Linked DNA regions of Arabidopsis thaliana. The protein of the gene in region 3 interacts with the protein of the main gene of each other region in a biochemical or structural test. Each region holds a gene or a part of one and is shown on either strand. Other genes may lie near its edges. The genes, in order: MBD02, MBD5 and CHR1.

The links.
Region 1: the proteins of CHR1 (region 3) and MBD02 form a complex in vitro, tested with the Arabidopsis thaliana proteins (one study listed by BioGRID).
Region 2: the proteins of CHR1 (region 3) and MBD5 form a complex in vitro, tested with the Arabidopsis thaliana proteins (one study listed by BioGRID).

What each region holds. Positions count from the first base shown.
Region 1 is NC_003076.8:13,522,485-13,528,324, forward strand, and holds MBD02 (methyl-CPG-binding domain protein 02), read right to left. Parts: upstream 3,315-5,840; 5' UTR 3,137-3,314; exon of another isoform or gene 2,792-3,136; 5' UTR 2,787-2,791; coding exon 2,341-2,786; intron 2,236-2,340; coding exon 2,182-2,235; intron 1,764-2,181; coding exon 1,606-1,763; intron 1,402-1,605; coding exon 1,241-1,401; 3' UTR 919-1,240; downstream 1-918. Other genes in the region: AT5G35320 (DBH-like monooxygenase), read left to right, coding at 281-660. UniProt on the Arabidopsis thaliana protein: Probable transcriptional regulator.
Region 2 is NC_003074.8:17,145,972-17,150,969, reverse strand, and holds MBD5 (methyl-CPG-binding domain protein 5), read right to left. Parts: upstream 2,739-4,998; 5' UTR 2,574-2,738; coding exon 2,403-2,573; intron 2,101-2,402; coding exon 1,975-2,100; intron 1,894-1,974; coding exon 1,642-1,893; 3' UTR 1,373-1,641; downstream 1-1,372. Other genes in the region: AT3G46570 (Glycosyl hydrolase superfamily protein), read left to right, coding at 4,103-4,998. UniProt on the Arabidopsis thaliana protein: Transcriptional regulator that binds CpG islands in promoters where the DNA is methylated at position 5 of cytosine within CpG dinucleotides. In addition, binds specifically methylated m(5)CpNpN but not m(5)CpNpG (N is A, T or C).
Region 3 is NC_003076.8:26,646,403-26,654,452, forward strand, and holds CHR1 (chromatin remodeling 1), read left to right. Parts: upstream 1-2,494; 5' UTR 2,495-2,647; coding exon 2,648-2,679; intron 2,680-2,884; coding exon 2,885-2,963; intron 2,964-3,098; coding exon 3,099-3,365; intron 3,366-3,466; coding exon 3,467-3,553; intron 3,554-3,661; coding exon 3,662-4,008; intron 4,009-4,088; coding exon 4,089-4,278; intron 4,279-4,363; coding exon 4,364-4,539; intron 4,540-4,671; coding exon 4,672-4,738; intron 4,739-4,815; coding exon 4,816-5,005; intron 5,006-5,087; coding exon 5,088-5,183; intron 5,184-5,260; coding exon 5,261-5,355; intron 5,356-5,429; coding exon 5,430-5,549; intron 5,550-5,652; coding exon 5,653-5,772; intron 5,773-5,857; coding exon 5,858-5,956; intron 5,957-6,046; coding exon 6,047-6,151; intron 6,152-6,242; coding exon 6,243-6,467; 3' UTR 6,468-6,789; downstream 6,790-8,050. Other genes in the region: AT5G66740 (spindle assembly abnormal protein (DUF620)), read left to right, coding at 712-999, 1,247-1,588, 1,674-2,156; SDH1-1 (succinate dehydrogenase 1-1), read left to right, coding at 7,374-7,481, 7,662-7,829, 7,924-8,011. UniProt on the Arabidopsis thaliana protein: ATP-dependent DNA helicase that plays a role in formation, organization, stability and heritability of heterochromatin and thus regulates several physiological traits.

The DNA.
Region 1 (5,840 bases), about 13 Mb from region 3:
ATAAGTTAAGAGTATCTTCTTTATTTTGAGATATCTCCATAAGTTTCAGTAAACAGTGCAGATAATCTAGTTTATATGGTATGAGCTCATATAGTTTTATATGTTGAACAGATTGTCATGTTAACTGGGAAATTATCATAGATATTATGAGGATTTTGCTGTGTCTTAGTGTCAGATTTTGTTCTGGTTCGTTTTGTTTGTTTGCCTTTAACTTGTGATCCAGAATGTTGACTAAATACAGACGGTTGTGTCTAAATTCTGAATGTTAACACTTGTGCAGATAGATTTCTTCGCGATGTATCGATAGCTGATGATAATCAGTATGAAGATGAGAGATTAAACAAGTGTCAAGCTGTTGTTTGCTGGAATCCGTCTCAGTCTACTTACTCACAGTCCATAGGAACCTTCCAACAACCGCGGACACTAGAGATTACTGAGTTGGATGAGACAGGTGAGGATGTGGTAATGGATGATGCATCCAATGAGATAGAAGAGGATACTGGAAGCACCAGTCTATCTTTCCCTCAGCAAGGACAGCAGCAAGAGCAAGAGCACACCTATGGTTTTGGCTTGCATCCGTGGCAGCAAGCGCAAAACTGTATGATTCCGCAGCTTCCTCAAGTCAGTACTACTCCCACTCCCATCACTTGGTTCCGATGATACGGCTTAACCACGGGAAAACTGAATAGGGAATGCACGAAGCAGGATAGTAGAAGGCAGATTTGTTGTTAGTTTTTGTTTCTGCCTTTTGCGCAGATTAGAGATATGGCATAGTTTTGTTGTTGTATGTTTACCAAACTAATAGCTTCAGCCATATCTCCCCTAGGATGGTTTTGACTTTCGAATGTTATCTTTTGGATGTCGTTAAAATATCCTTTGAGATAAACTACGTTCCAACTTAACATGCACATCTACAGTTAAACAGACTCTGATCTATTCTTATCTGCTTTCTTGTGTCAGTCCTCTAGTGGATTTGTGAGATAATGGAATTTGGTAATAATCAAACTTTAGGTTTAAAAACTTTCAGCATGAAAATCCAGTTATTTGGAAGCAAAAACCAAAAGGACCCATCTTCTTCATAGAAAGTATGTTACACTGCAAAACAAAATAGATGGTATACACAAAAAACAAGCTAACCACATGCTTTCAGTTTCTTCGATAAGACAAACCCAAAAAACGAAGAAAGAAGACGGGTTATATACCAGAGAAGACGAGATAAGTTCACTCTCGTCTAGCTAGATTATCTATCAGCAAGTTCGTCGTTGGAGCCAAAGATTGATAGCGTCGATGTTTTTTTCTTTTTCGATGGTTGGTAATGTGAATTGTTAAGTCCAGACTCGGTTGGCGTACCTAGCTGCAACGATATATGATCATCTGGAGATATCCATGCCAGTGGATTAGCTGAAAAATAACAAGACAAGCGAAATGTTAGAAACTTGTAAAAGCATAGACGTTTTCATGTTAATAAAGTTCCCTAAAGACACCAATGTTCGGTTCGAGTATACGTCAAATACACTCTTGACTGAAAAAATGACATCAATAATCTAAAGCCTTGATACAAAAGATAACCACAATTATATTTATGTGCCTTGATAAGCAACACACCTTCTTTAGCTACAGGGGTGTTTGTATTATCGATGGAATCCAGTAGTCGAGCTGGGCGCTTCCTCACGTAGTCATCCTGCAGCGGTTTCGGGATTTGAAACGAGAACTGTGAAAGTTTCACCCCTTCTCCAATGTATTCGGAGTTGTCATTCAAGTACCTGCAAACCAGTAATAGTGGTTATAAGGGTGTAAAGAAGCTAGCTATACGTCACTGAAAACAATTTGGTAATCACTAAACGAATTGGTAAGTCACTAAGCTTTTTTCTCCTACCATTGTTGTCACTCTCAAATGCTGCAGGGAAGTATCATGGAAATAAGGATGATAGTTTAACTAACTTCTTGGCATAGTACATTTTCGTTAGTAAACAAAACACATGCAAGGATTTCTGTAATTTGCATAAGTGCCTAACTCTAGTTATGACCACAGAACAATACTTGAGGTTCCTACTGATTCAATATATTGGTTGACGAAAATGGTAAGACTGATACAGTGAGACCTCATCAAACATAAAAGTAAGGAACACTTTGTTAAATGTGAAAACGAAAATGTGGAAATGGAGTGGTAGAGAAACTAACTTTTGGACCTCCACAGTTGATCGAAGCTTCTTTCCAGACGGAGCAACATAATAACTGAAACAACCAAGATAAAAGAATGATAAAGAAAGCCAATACAATGGTATAAAGAAGAAAGACTAATATTAACATAAATGAGAGAAGAGTTAACGAACGACATACACATCAGCAAATCTGGTACCTCCTTCACCTCTAATCCGCAGTAAACGTTGCCAGCCAGCGGGTGGACGAGAGATATTCGGTTTATCAATAGCCCAAAGACGAGTTCCATCTTGATAGATATCAGCAGGAACATCACAAGAAATATCCGGCTTCCACTCACGCGCTGTATCGCAGAAAAACGGGTTTTCAAGAAGCTGTTCCCTAATCTCTTCATACTTCTGCATTGAAGGCATGAGTCTCCATTTGAAACAACTTGCACACTGAACCGTAAATGCCCCGATAGAGGGACACTGTGTTCTAGATGACAAAGGCTGAGATTGAACCGGTAGAACTTCTTCTTCAGTATCATCATTTCCTTTCAAGTCATAAACCACTAACTGATTCTCACCTCTATCCTCATTAGGTGAAGACGATCTTTGGACAGCTCGAGACTGCGACATACTCATAGAAACTACCTATAATAAATGGTTAGAGAAATGAATGTCAAGTGAAAACAAAAATGACAAATTTAGTTAACAAGAATCATTCATCACAATAACACTAGTCTCTCTATTAACATCATAAGAGAACATGATCAAGAAAACATTGATACGTGTAAAGAACAGTGAACAGTAGAAACCCTCGAACATTTCAATCTCAAAAATCAACAATAATCATAAAACAGAGCAAAGGAAACAACAATTATCATATAATCAAAGAAGAACATGAGCTGATAGAGACGAGATCCAAAAAAAAAACAATTTCATCGAAAAGCCGAAACAAAGATTAAAAATTTATCAAGAAGAAGAATCGTTACACGAAGAGGACGAGAGCAAACCAGGGTTTCAGAGATCGGTGAGCGAAGAAGGCTCTAAAGATCGTTGTGGTTAATTTGAGAATTTCATTTTTTGAGACAGAGCCAATTCAGACAACACTCTTTGTCTAGATAGAAAATGGGGAAACCGAGAAAGAGAAGAGAGAAAGAAACTGAATTTAATTTATTTTGTATAAATATAAAATTTGTTGTTACGAAAATAATTCTTAATTTACATTCACTTCAAAATATATCATGCTATAAGTAGGAGAATATTTGTGCTTTTGGGCTTATAAACAAATCTTACCATTAATCAAAATTTCCTTCAGAAAAAAAGAATCAAAGGATAATTCTTTCTAATATTAGATATGGATTCGTGTTGTGCATGCTAAATAGATGAAATATGTCTAACAAATATTTGCCATTGTTTAACAAATATTTTGAGACTTCCATAATATGTAAATTAAACTTTAATAAAAACAAATATATGTCAATTGTTGATTTTTTTTTTTTGGGTCAAAATATATGTCAATTGTTGATATAAAATATTAGGCCTGCGACTTCGGGTAAACCGAACCGAACCGAGTCGGTTATTTCGGGTTTCGGTTATTTTGGATTTTTGAAAATTCTTCCGAAACTAACCGAAATTTATTACGGTTCGGTTCGATTCGGATATTGGTTTCTTTGGTTTTTAAGTTTAAAACCCGAAAATAACCGATTCTTTTTTTTTTATTTTTTTTTAACATTAACAGATATACTTTATTAGAGGGATGATGTGTAATCCTATGGAGGATTTGTACAAGAAACAGAGGTACATAAGAATGAGAGACAAAAGTAACAATGTTTTCTAACTCCACTTTAGCTAATCGATCAGCTGCTTTGTTAGTTGACCGGAAAGACCATTTGATAATGGCAGTAGAAAACTTCTTCCGCCAATGTTGTATCTCCATGACGAGGTTATGAAGTTCAAAATTCCTTGTGTTCCCATTGAGTAAGCTTTCCACAGTCCTATTATCACCTTCAAATATAATCTTTCGATATCCTCTACTCCATGTATGTTGCATTGCCATCAAGAGAGCCTGTAGTTCCGCTTCTAGCACTGAGTTGCATAGTTGTCTTGTACCTTGAGCCGCAAGTAGATAACTGCCTGTGTCAATTCGTAAAATCCAACCAGCCTTTGGTGCTAGATCATTCCTTGAGAAACTGCAGTCATAATTGCATTTGATAAAGCCGTGAATAGGTTTTTGCTACCCTTGCCCGCTTCTGTCATTTAGACTTCGTCGTTGTGTGTCTCGCTGCAGAGGAATCCACTCATATGAGTCTGTTATCGCTTTTTGTACATCATCTTGCCAATTACTCCCTTTTCGCTGGTAAACTAACAAATTCCTGCTCTTCCATATGTGCCACAACATCCATAAAGGTATTTGTCTTGTGATATGGTCTTGTCTCGTATCAGTACAGCATTGAAGGATTAATCTGAATTTATCTTCAAAAGGTAAGTGTGGATTGAAAAACGCTGTATGTGACACCGGAGAGCCCCTCCAAATAGCTTGAACATAATGGCATCCAAAGAATAGGCGTTCTAATGTTTCAGGAGCTGCACAACATCGTTTACACTGTGAATCTGAAATGATATGTCGTCGTGTCAAGGCCTCGCCTGTCGCCAATGATTGAGTTACTATCCGCCACATGAAGTGCTTTAGTTTTGGTGTCGTGTCTAGCTTCCATACTACTCTCTTAAACTCGGGTAAACCTGGTGGGGGAACATAATCATGTTGTTGATTCGGTAGATGTGTACAGAGCCAATAACTTGATTTGAATGTGTATTCCCCATGCTTTGTGTAGTTCCAGCCTAGTACATCAGGGGACGGTTGTGATCTTAATCTTAACCTTGTATCAATCGTGCTTCATCTGCTTCAAAGAGTTCTTCTATTACTTCTTTATTCCACATGTTTCTGCCATCTTGCATTAGGTGCTTGACTTGTGTATGATTGGTGACCGTCGCATCACGTTTTTGAGGTGGTCTTGGTGGGTGTGTTGGAAGCCATGAATCAGTCCATATGTTTGTCTGTTTGCCATCTTCTATAAGGATTCGAAGTCCTTGCTGCAGGAGGTCTCGTCCTTCTAGAATGGATCTCCAAATGAAAGAGGGCTTCCTCCGGTTCTTGCATTCAGAATATTTGTTGTTTCAAAGTACCTTCCACGTAAGAGGCGAGTGAGCAGGGATGATGGTGCTTGAAGTATTCGCCACACTTGTTTTGCTAACATGGCTTTATTAAAGCATTCAATGTCCCTAAATCCTAACCCGCCTTCATTCTTTGGTATGGTCAGCCGCTTCCAAGCCATCCAGTGCATTGATCTCTTATCCGAGCTTTTACTCCACCAGTAAGACGCAAGTAATCTGTTGATATCATCACATATCCCCTTTGGAAGTTTGAAACAGTTCATTGTGTAAACTGGTAATGACAAAGCCACTGTCTTTATTAAGATTTCTTTTCCGGCTTCTGATAGAAATCGAGTTGACCACCCTTTTGTTTTTTGTTGTACCCGATCAACAATATAGGTAAAGATCTCCTTTTTTCCTCCAATCTGTTCTGGTAAACCCAAATATTTACCCCCACCACCGTCATTATGGATGTTTAGGATTCGTCGAAGTTGAGTTTTCACTTGTTGCTTCACTTTTGAACCAAACGTAATGGCTGCTTTG
Region 2 (4,998 bases), on a different chromosome or scaffold from region 3:
AGGATGTTAAATACTTTTTCTTTGAGATAACAATTAACCAGTCAAAATAATAAGGGTTTATCCGTTAGCTTTGTCAATACGAGCTTTATTATATTTAAAAAGCTAAAATATAACAACGAGCGTTTTTGTTTAGTTTAGTTAGAAATTATGATATATATTTTTCTAGATTATTTTTTGGTTGATGAATGATGTAGATTCGATTCACTCCAATCATATATATGAAAGTTGGCCAACTCTTTCCATATGATTGACACATCATCACTTTAACATTTGCCCTATGTCCACTAAATAATTAATGTAAGCTCTTCAACTTCTAATTTATAGATTAATGATGTATTTATTATTTAATTTTTCATATTTAATTGTACTAATACTAAATTTATTTTGTTATTATATGTTTTCAATAAAATTATTTTATCGGTTTTCTCATACTCGAAGATGTTTTTCTGTAATCTTAACTCAAATAATGAGTGTATAGTTGTCATGAATTATTTAATAGTTTGAATAGTTTGCAGATTTTTATCTATATAATAAATCACCGAGGGTAAAGAGTATGTAAGAAGTTTAATCATCAAATTCTTAATTAGGTTTCGAGAATCCCAGCATTACCCTCTATTTAATTGGTTTAAGACGAACATTGTTTAGGAAATGTGTATATGATGCATTGTTGAAAATGTTGTTTGAAAAAAATATTTTAATAATAAAAATAATTATTTATTACATGAGTGAATGATTAGATAATTAAAATTATATTTAAATTAAACGATAAAAAAATCTGAAAATATACCGCAGCGTAGTGCAGATGATTATCGACAAATCAACCGAAAATATCTTTTTTGAAAACTCGTTATTTTCGACGGGGGTGTATATGTTACTTTTGGTAATTATTCATCTCCACGCCGTTAGAATTCCTCGAATTTTGAGGTGGAGAATTTTTCCCATTTTGTTTTCTGATAGGAAACAAACGATAACTGAAAAGTGCGATAAGAACCCCTTTTTTATCCACTGCATAAGACAGAAAAGAATTATAGTCTTTGACGACAATGTTCTTAGCCATTTTAGAAAGAAAAAAAATTCTTAAACAAAGATCTAAAGAAAATATTTACTGTTCATAAACAACGAGCGTAAAATGTCAAAATTTAAAAATGCGTCTGCCGGGAGTCGAACCCGGGTCTATTGCTTGGAAGGCAATTATCCTAACCGTTGGACTACAGACGCTTTGGTTCATATTTTCACACTGTTCTGTTATAACTTGAACTTATTCCAAATTATGTCAGTATGCTTCCGTATATCATTTAGGACAAAGGCAGAGAAGCATAGATAGATAGAGCCTATGCATAACTGATGATTCACAATTTAAAGCAGAGAGAACTGAGCAGAGAAGTACCGCACATCGAACTTTAGATTTCATAACTTTGTTACTATCGGATTCTCTCAAAGGCAATAATATAGACATACATTGCCTTCAAATTATCTAAGAAAATGTTAAGAAAGTACATTACAACTCAAATCAAAGTGTTACTAAAACTATCACTACTAAAAAATTAACCTGCATTCCAACCAACGATCAGTAAATACTAAGTAGATATGATAATCTAGCAGCGCGTGTTATTACAATTTGTGAGTTTCTGCAGCAATCTTCTAGAACATCGTTTTTCCAGCGTTTTGGGAGGTGACAAGAGTGAATACTCTGTCCCAATCTTGGCTGACAGATTCTTGAATCTTGTAGTCCCCAATGAAAGGCAACCAAGCTTCTTCTGAACCGTTTATCCCAGTCCAAGTAACCTTCTCCGGCACATTCAGAAAATCGAAGTTCAACGGCTTTGGCGGTGGCTCAGTAACCTTTTTGTTGGATTTTGTCTGCCGCCTAGCGCTTCCTCTACCTTCAGAATGCTACAAAAATGTGCAAAAACAACAACAGTTCAGGTAAAACACGGGTTTAAACCTTAAGGTAATGTCTACTAACAAACTCACTTCGGAATGTGAGTCTCCGTTTTCCGCTGTCTTGACGGACTTCTTTTTAGGCGTCCCGTGTTCCAAATAGTACAAAACCTCGTTCTTGGACCGGAACTTACGACCCGTAATCGGTTCGTAGTAGAACTACATTACAAATACAAGACATCATCAAGCACTGCATTATCATATTCACACCTACAACATCCTAAACAGAGCAATCTTCATCCAACAAGCATACATACAGCAACGTTACACTTAAAGACTAGTTATAAAGTCTCCAAATACCTTAAAATATAAACCAATAAGATCATCATAACCTAACTTCAATACCCAATTTCATAAATACTAAGAAAAAGTTCCAATTCAAATCAACAAACAACATAACATTTCCATTTGTACGGACGATTCTATCTGCGAAGGAATTGAAAGGGCTGAGATTTTTTCACCTTATCAACAGTACCAGCTTTAGTGCCAGAGGTTCGAACCCTAATTTCGGTTCTCCAATCAGGAGGAAGCCAATTATCATCCCCTGGCGTCGCACGTTTCCGTGACTTCGAATCCACCGGAGTAGCCGGGTTCTCCGGTGGTGGTTGAGCCTGATCCGTGCCGTTCGACATTTCCGGAAACAAACCCTGTGGAGGTCTCCAGAGAAAGGTATGATTGAGTGAGTGTATATAAAATTGAGAGATTTTAATATTCCTTTCTTTTTGACTGAATCAGACAGAGTAAAAGACAGAAGTACAATTTGTAAGTTAGAAGTTTTGTTTCTGTTTTAAAGTTTGAGCTCGAGGAATGGCTTAATTAGCCACGTTGCAGTTTTTGGGCTTTTGGGCCCATTAAGGTAAATTAATTTCTTGTTGTGAATTAGAGTGGATAAAATATTTGTAACCGAAATCAAAATCGAAATGTGTGTAACTGATATAAATTATTTGAACAACTATGGGCCGATCGGTAAGGATGACGGTAAATGTTTTGGCTTTAAAAACTTTTACCATAGAAAATTTGGATGTAGAGACTTAACTGTTGAGATTTTAGATGTTAAATTCTGATTGGTAATATAAAGTTGTAAAAGCTTGAGTACTATTTTTACTATTATTAAATATATTTTTGTAAATAAAATTATGTTAAAATTGAATTATGTTTCAACATAGTGACACAAATATATTTTATTAATAATATAAAATTAAAATACAAAAAATATTCTTAAATAAATATTCTCAACAAATAAACTGCACATGTAATAAATAAATTATTTATTAGTAAATTGGATCTTAAAAGAAAATATAAAATTAATAATAATTAATTAATCAAAAATGATTTGTGAAAAAATATATATAAAATTGTAGAAAGTTTTTAATTATCATGGGAGAAGAAAAAGAAAAGTTTTAATATTTATTTGTTTGAAAGCCATGTAATCGTGACTTTAAAAAAAAAAAGGAAACAAAGAACAAATAAAAACAAGGCTTTGAGAACTTTAAAAAAAAATAAAGTCAAGAAAGCATGACTGTTAAAATAAAAACTGTGAGGACTTTAAAACACCTTTAAAGCTATGAGAGCATCCACATCGGTGATCAGTATATTGGATGTCTTAACTGCCAAATGAAGAGAGAGAAATTTATTGATAAAATGAACAGAGAGAAAATTGTTGGTCAAATGAAGAGAAAAAATAAAAAACAATAACACCAACCAATAGCATGGTGACACATTCGTGTTTTCCCGTATCAAAAAATGTTTTTCCACAGACATTAAAGTCATCATGTCACTCCTATTCAGCGCATTAATTCTCATCTTCCTATTTTTTTTATTCTGTTAAAATTTGAAGACACCTTTTAAATTTGTCCGATGAGGATGGTCTGAGAGTCCCTTCCCAATCACCCCCAAATACAATTAATTTGCAACTATTTACATCCTTATTAATGGTTTCAATTATCAAATGTTATTAATTTATGATTATTACATTATGTAGCAAAACTTCCACGTTTAGCAAAACTTCCACGTTTAGCAAAACTTACTAGGAGTGAGTGATTTTTTGGGAGCCACTCGCTCACGTCTCCACAATCAAACCGAACACGATCATGCTCCCAAAAAACAACTCCTAGTAAGTTTTGCTAAACGTGGAAGTCATAAAATAAACTCATTCACGATCATGTTGGGATCTAGAGTTGTTCATCAACTTTACTTCCTAATTCTCACTCTCATCCTTCCCTTCTCCGCTGCATATCAAGTCGGCGTAAACTACGGCACCGTGGCCAACAACCTCCCACCGCCTCACCAAGTCGTCAACTTCATCAAAACAAAAACAATAATCAACCACGTCAAAATCTTCGACACAAACCACGACATCCTCGCCGCATTTTCCGGCATTACAGGAATCTCCCTCACCGTCACCGTCCCAAACTCCGATATCATTTCTCTTTCCAAGCTTTCCAACGCACGTTCATGGCTCTCCGACAACCTCCTCCCCTTCCTCCTAACAACTTCAATCCGTTACATTGCTGTCGGAAACGAAGTCGTCGCCACATCCGACAAAACCCTCATCACTCATCTCCTTCCCGCTATGGAGACGCTTACGTTAGCATTACACCTTGCTAACGTCAGTAGGATCTTAGTCTCGACGCCTCACTCGCTCGGTATCCTCTCAGGCTCCTCCGAGCCACCTAGCTCCGGAAAGTTCCGTAAAGGGTACGACAAAGCCATCTTCTCTCCAATCCTAGACTTCCACAACCGCACCAAGTCTCCTTTTATGGTTAACCCGTATCCATATTTCGGTTTCGGACCTGAAACGTTAAACTACGCACTCTTTAACACAAACGACGTTGTATATGTTGACCCGGTTACGAAGTTGAACTACACCAACATGTTCGACGCTCAGCTTGATGCTGTTTACTCCGCAATGAAACGATTTGGGTACGGTGACGTGGACATTGTTGTGGCTGAGACCGGTTGGCCTTCAGCTGGTGAACCGAACCAAACCGGCGTCGGTTTAGATTATGCCGCAGCTTACAATGGGAACCTTATAAAGCATGTGAATTCTGGTAAGGG
Region 3 (8,050 bases):
AGAGAAAATGGTGGCAAAAGAGGCAAAGACTAAACTAATGAATTTAAAATATGAAAATGATGGAATGACTGGTTTACCAATATTACAGTATATTGTAATTTTATAAAAACGAATCCTGAAGAAGAGGGCAAACCCCAAGACCACGCAAATCAGTCTACAAATATGAAAATTTCCAATAACTAGAAAAACATGTGCATTTATCTTTTTCCATCATTCGGATTTTTACAATGGAAATTTTGACCACTGAGCGCAAGTGTTATAGTATTTTATTATTATCCAATATTAATATCATTATTCGGATCCATGCATTCTATATAACTATGTCCACCATCTTACTTGTGTCTATGTTGCAACTTCAACGTCGTATATATATAGGGATTGTTGTCACGAATACAATGCTAATTAAGGAAGATTGTGACTTCTCGGAAAATTTAGAACTAATTAAGAGTGGAACTAAAATGCCAATGAAAATAGCCTAAATCAAAGGAGAACCACAAATATAAATTGGAAGACCTTAAAAAACAATTAAACGAGGACGAAACAAATTTTGGAATCATCAATTATACGAAAAAAAGAAGAAAGAAAAAAGAGGTTTCATGAATCACAGTAGTGCTGACAATCTTCGAACCATTTGTGGGTTTCATACAATCGATCACCAATAGAACAAAAGAGAAACAGAGGAACAGAAAGAATAGAAGGAGTGGGAAGTGTATGAGGAAGCTGTGTCCGAACATAGACAAAGACGATGGTCTGGAGACGGTGTTGGAAGTTCCGATACCGGAGGAGATGTTTTCCGGTATGGGCAACAACGTTGCACTTAGGTGGCAAAATATGATGACGTGGATGAAAGCTCAAACGTCTGATAAATGGTCGCAACCGCTTATCGCCGCTCGTATCAACGAGCTCCGGTTCCTTCTCTACCTCGTTGGCTCGCCTCTTATACCTCTCCAGGTTCAAGTCGGTCACTCTGTTCATAAGCCCGTCAAAGATTGCTCCATTGTAAGTCATTCAAAATCAATCCTTATGAAAACATAACAAAGATGTTGAAAATATGATTCCTCTTTTTTTTTTCTTTTTTTCTTTTATGATCAAAACCCAAAAAAGTCATTACCCTGCTTCGTAAGTATTCAACATAAAGTTGTTAATCCATGTGTTGTACTCTGCAAGTCTGCATTACATTATTCATCGTACACAGAGTCATCAACTTCAGTTTCATTGTTTTTTTGCTTATGAATTACGATTGCAGCAAGCTTCAACGGCGAAATACATTGTACAGCAGTACATAGCAGCGACGGGAGGACCACAGGCGTTAAACGCCGTGAACAGCATGTGCGTCACGGGACAAGTGAAGATGACGGCGTCGGAGTTTCATCAAGGAGATGATTCGGGCGTTAATCTAAAGAGCAACGACGAAATGGGTGGTTTCGTTTTATGGCAAAAGGATCCAGATCTTTGGTGTTTGGAGCTCGTCGTCTCCGGTTGCAAAGTGATATGTGGAAGCAACGGTCGGCTTTCATGGCGACATTCCTCTAACCAGCAAACTCCGGCGTCTACCGGAACGCCAAGACCTCTCCGCCGGTTTTTACAGGTCCAATCCGGTTATTGATTTTTTTTTTGATGTAATGTCCGGTTCTCAAAATGTTGAACCGGTGGTTTATTTATTGTTTGAGCAGGGGTTAGATCCTCGTTCGACGGCGAATCTGTTTCTTGACGCAACGTGTATCGGAGAGAAGATAATCAACGGTGAGGATTGCTTTATCTTGAAACTGGAGACGAGTCCGGCGGTTCGAGAAGCTCAAAGCGGTCCGAATTTTGAGATAATTCATCACACGATATGGGGTTATTTTAGTCAAAGATCGGGACTTTTGATTCAGTTCGAAGATTCGCGGCTTTTGAGAATGAGGACCAAGGAAGACGAAGATGTCTTCTGGGAGACTAGTGCTGAGTCGGTGATGGATGATTACCGATACGTTGACAATGTGAACATCGCTCACGGCGGGAAAACATCGGTCACGGTTTTCCGGTACGGTGAAGCGTCGGCGAATCATCGGAGACAGATGACGGAGAAGTGGAGGATAGAAGAAGTTGATTTTAATGTTTGGGGTCTCTCCGTTGATCATTTTCTTCCTCCGGCCAATTTGCAGATCGAAAAATGATTTAGCTTTTTATTAAAAATATTGTTATTCGTTTTTAGCCGATATCATAACTTTTTGAGATACATTATCAACACACTCGTGCAACTGAGATATTCTTGACACAATTTTTGCATTTGAAATTGGCAATTTTGTACTACTCATATAGTTTGAAGCTTCAATTCACTACAAAGGTTATTACTAATTGTGTCGACAAATCCAGCAGATTTAATAATGCCCATTCCATTAAATGTTTTTTAGTTTAATAATAGGATGATCATATGACCAAAATCGTAAATAAGGGTTAGGGGTAAACCTGTCATTTCAAGCTTCCCGCCCATGGGCGCTACTCCCAATTTAATAAAAAATAAGAAAATAGGCGTAAATATGAGAGTGTGTTTTTTCAATATACCCTCGGTTTTGAATTTGCTCTCAAAAGCGACGGAGACGACTGTTTGGCTCGGTGATTTCTCCCGCCGTTTGGGTTTTTCTTACCGGAATTTCCTTCTCCTTCGATGGTTAGTCTGCGCTCCAGAAAAGTTATTCCGTAAGTCCCTCCACCTTTCCTTTTCATTTCGTTATTTCCGGCGATTTTCTAGGTCCTTAACGCTCTCGAAATCGCTCGCTGTTCTTGGTGGTTTTTGGTTCCCTCTCTGCGTAATTTTGTTTGTCGTGTTTTTGGATTATATTCTCTGACTATTGGTCTCACTGTTGATTTATCATTTCTCGATTTTGGATTTTTGGACTCTTAGGGCTTCGGAAATGGTCAGCGACGGGAAAACGGAGAAAGATGCGTCTGGTGATTCACCCACTTCTGTTCTCAACGAAGAGGTTTGTTCTATGTTCTACTATTTTGCCTTCGTAGTGTGGTTGCTTTGTGAAACTTTGTGTGTTACTCTTTGTTTCTTTAAATCTGGGGTGTTCTGTAAATGGGTCCTTTTTGGTCCTTTTTTTCTGAATGTGAAGGAAAACTGTGAGGAGAAAAGTGTTACTGTTGTAGAGGAAGAGATACTTCTAGCCAAAAATGGAGATTCTTCTCTTATTTCTGAAGCCATGGCTCAGGAGGAAGAGCAGCTGCTCAAACTTCGGGAAGATGAAGAGAAAGCTAACAATGCTGGATCTGCTGTTGCTCCTAATCTGAATGAAACTCAGTTTACTAAACTTGATGAGCTCTTGACGCAAACTCAGCTCTACTCTGAGTTTCTCCTTGAGAAAATGGAGGATATCACAATTGTAATCTTCTTTATTTCTTTCTTCTTTGTGGTTTCTCACTTTTCGAATGGGAGTCATTATTCTTAGTTTGAACAACTTGTGGGTGAAATTTGTTTTGCTAGAATGGGATAGAAAGTGAGAGCCAAAAAGCTGAGCCCGAGAAGACTGGTCGTGGACGCAAAAGAAAGGCTGCTTCTCAGTACAACAATGTTGGTTCCATTTATATAATTTTCAACTACTATGCATGATCTTGTATATATTGTTTTTTCTGCTTGTTTGAGAAAGTAACTTACTTGGATGCTTTTTTCTTCAATCAGACTAAGGCTAAGAGAGCGGTTGCTGCTATGATTTCAAGATCTAAAGAAGATGGTGAGACCATCAACTCAGATCTGACAGAGGAAGAAACAGTCATCAAACTGCAGAATGAACTTTGTCCTCTTCTCACTGGTGGACAGTTAAAGTCTTATCAGCTTAAAGGTGTCAAATGGCTAATATCATTGTGGCAGAATGGTTTGAATGGAATATTAGCTGATCAAATGGGACTTGGAAAGACGATTCAAACGATCGGTTTCTTATCACATCTGAAAGGGAATGGGTTGGATGGTCCATATCTAGTCATTGCTCCACTGTCTACACTTTCAAATTGGTTCAATGAGATTGCTAGGTACTCTCATGGCCATATGTGTTTGTATAGATCCAATGCTTTGGGGTTTCTGTTGAAAGTTTTCTTACCTTTTCCATTAGGTTCACGCCTTCCATCAATGCAATCATCTACCATGGGGATAAAAATCAAAGGGATGAGCTCAGGAGGAAGCACATGCCTAAAACTGTTGGTCCCAAGTTCCCTATAGTTATTACTTCTTATGAGGTTGCCATGAATGATGCTAAAAGAATTCTGCGGCACTATCCATGGAAATATGTTGTGATTGATGAGGTAAATTCCGAGATTGGTCAATGTACTAGGCTTTGAAGATCAAGATGATCTCTCTAACTGATAATTTTGTTCTTGTATATTATAGGGCCACAGGTTGAAAAACCACAAGTGTAAATTGTTGAGGGAACTAAAACACTTGAAGATGGATAACAAACTTCTGCTGACAGGAACACCTCTGCAAAATAATCTTTCTGAGCTTTGGTCTTTGTTAAATTTTATTCTGCCTGACATCTTTACATCACATGATGAATTTGAATCATGGTACAAACATGGTCCTTTTCTACTATTATCCCTAACTAGTCTTCTTTTTTTTTTTTTTTTTGTTAACACTGGTGGCAGCTTTTTGACATTTATTCCTTTCTTAGTATCTAACTGATAGATGAGTCTCTACAGGTTTGATTTTTCTGAAAAGAACAAAAACGAAGCAACCAAGGAAGAAGAAGAGAAAAGAAGAGCTCAAGTATGTACAATTATATCAATTTTCCTTTATTTCTTTGATTGTATTTATGTCTTATGCTAAGGGTACATCTTGTCTAGGTTGTTTCCAAACTTCATGGTATACTACGACCATTCATCCTTCGAAGAATGAAATGTGATGTTGAGCTCTCACTTCCACGGAAAAAGGAGATTATAATGTATGCTACAATGACTGATCATCAGAAAAAGTTCCAGGAACATCTGGTGAATAACACGTTGGAAGCACATCTTGGAGAGAATGCCATCCGAGGTACATGATCTATTTTTTTTTTTTAATACTTTGTTTAATTATGTCATTTTCTGCATTGATTTGTTCATCCCCTATACTTCAGGTCAAGGCTGGAAGGGAAAGCTTAACAACCTGGTCATTCAACTTCGAAAGAACTGCAACCATCCTGACCTTCTCCAGGGGCAAATAGATGGTTCATGTATGTCAGTTTCTTTTAAGAAACGTAAGAAAAACTTCTGTCATACTGTTCTGTCTAATTGTTTCATTTCGTGACAGATCTCTACCCTCCTGTTGAAGAGATTGTTGGACAGTGTGGTAAATTCCGCTTATTGGAGAGATTACTTGTTCGGTTATTTGCCAATAATCACAAAGTATGTTTCACAAACCCATGGCTCGTAGCTCATTTCCCTTTGAGAACTTCTCTGATCCATTTGCTGATGACCAGGTCCTTATCTTCTCCCAATGGACGAAACTTTTGGACATTATGGATTACTACTTCAGTGAGAAGGGGTTTGAGGTTTGCAGAATCGATGGCAGTGTGAAGCTGGATGAAAGGAGAAGACAGGTTTCACCTGTGCTTATGCTGCTTTTGCGTTGCTTTTAAGCAATATTCTGACCAAATATTATAACCATAAGGTCTCTCTCTCTCTCTCTTTGCCTTGAAACAGATTAAAGATTTCAGTGATGAGAAGAGCAGCTGTAGTATATTTCTCCTGAGTACCAGAGCTGGAGGACTCGGAATCAATCTTACTGCTGCTGATACATGCATCCTCTATGACAGCGACTGGGTAATCAAATCAATTAATTTATTTTCTTTGAAGGAAAATCTTTCTCTTTCGTGTTGTCTCCAACTGTGTTTTGTCTGATCTCCAGAACCCTCAAATGGACTTGCAAGCCATGGACAGATGCCACAGAATCGGGCAGACGAAACCTGTTCATGTTTATAGGCTTTCCACGGCTCAGTCGATAGAGGTAAAACTCTTTGTTGTTCATATCAATCAATCTTAACTTCAAACCATTGAGATTGTTGCCTCATGAGATTGGTTTATGACATTTGCTCAGACCCGGGTTCTGAAACGAGCGTACAGTAAGCTCAAGCTGGAACATGTGGTTATTGGCCAAGGGCAGTTTCATCAAGAACGTGCCAAGTCTTCAACACCTTTAGAGGTTTTAACTTCTCTTAAAGCTCAATCCTTTTTAGATACACTTATTATCAACAAAATCTCCTATTGACAGCTTGAACCAAACTAACACACAGGAAGAGGACATACTGGCGTTGCTTAAGGAAGATGAAACTGCTGAAGATAAGTTGATACAAACCGATATAAGCGATGCGGATCTTGACAGGTTACTTGACCGGAGTGACCTGACAATTACTGCACCGGGAGAGACACAAGCTGCTGAAGCTTTTCCAGTGAAGGGTCCAGGTTGGGAAGTGGTCCTGCCTAGTTCGGGAGGAATGCTGTCTTCCCTGAACAGTTAGGACACATTAATAAGCCAGGCCTTGAAACCACTTCTGTGTTTTTTTTTTTTTTTTCCGGAACATGATCGGTTACTTTTGGCTGGGAGGATTTAATTATTAGAGGGCTCGGAAGTTTTTGTAAGTTAAAGAACTCACTTAAAACCCTGAAAACATGACAGTTAATGGTGATTAGCTCTCAATGTGATGAAAACAATTGGCCCTCTGATTTTGCTGTTGCGGTAATATTATGACTTGTGTACGTTTATAGTCTTTGTAGTCTGCAATTTTGGCATTGAGCTATTTCTCACGAACTTATGGGATCTTATGTTTTGGATTTGGGATTTGTTAACTTATATGATTAGGCTCAATAGTTTCACAGAATATTAAAAACTTGAGTAGGGTTTAAAAAAGAAGCAAAAAGCTCCGATGCCGGGAATCGAACCCGGGTCTCCTGGGTGAAAGCCAGATATCCTAACCGCTGGACGACATCGGATTTGTTGATGTCTATTCTTGTAAATAGTAAATATTTAGTTTTATCGGTTTTGCATCTAATGGACTAAAACATGAACACGAGACGCCGACAAGAATGAATGGGGCAGGCACCAAACATTTGGGTAAAAGTATGCAGTGGGGTATTATTGACAATTTGACCATTACAAGAGCTAATCTTAGGGGGTTTTAGTTAGTAAAGCAAACCCGGTTTAGGAGTAAATATGGAGTGAGAATAGGGGTAATTAAGGGAATTTAAGAGAAGTCATCATCGTTTTCCATTTTTCTTATTTTAAGCGCCTCGGTGGCTATCTCTCACTCCGTTCGCGTCTTCCTCTTAAAGGAAACCTCCTCTACGCGAAATTCGTATTCTCTCATTTCTTCTACGGAGATTTGCATCGAAGAAACTGACTCGCTTGTGGAATCAACAACAAGACGATGTGGCGCTGCGTCTCTCGTGGCTTTCGAGCTCCTGCTTCAAAGACCTCTTCACTCTTTGATGGCGTCTCTGGATCTCGCTTTTCCAGATTCTTCTCCACTGGTTCTGTATGATCTCTCTTCCTTCTCCTTCCGTTTTGTTTATTTTCTAATTCGATCTTATGTAATTCACGAATCATAGTTTTATCCGCCATTCAAATGCGTTAGTAGTCGAGCAAATTGTTGAAAATCGGGGAAAATTTTGATCGATTTGTTTTGTGGTGTTTATTTTGGTTATCTGTTGAGTAGACCGATACGAGATCCTCTTATACGATAGTGGATCACACTTATGATGCGGTTGTGGTGGGAGCTGGTGGTGCTGGTCTTAGGGCGGCGATTGGGTTATCGGAGCATGGCTTTAACACCGCTTGCATTACTAAGCTTTTCCCCACAAGGTCACATACTGTTGCTGCTCAGGTATTTTTCGTTACTAATCTCCTTATACTGTCGATTTTTAAATATAGTTTTGTTTCTTTTTGATTGAGATTATGTTGTCGAAAAAACTGTCAAGGGTGGTATTAATGCTGCACTGGGAAATATGTCCGAAGATGACTGGAGATGGCACATGTATGACACTGTCAAAGGAAGTGACTGGCTAGGTAATCTTAGTCTTCCTTTTGTTTCTTCTCTTTTTTTAG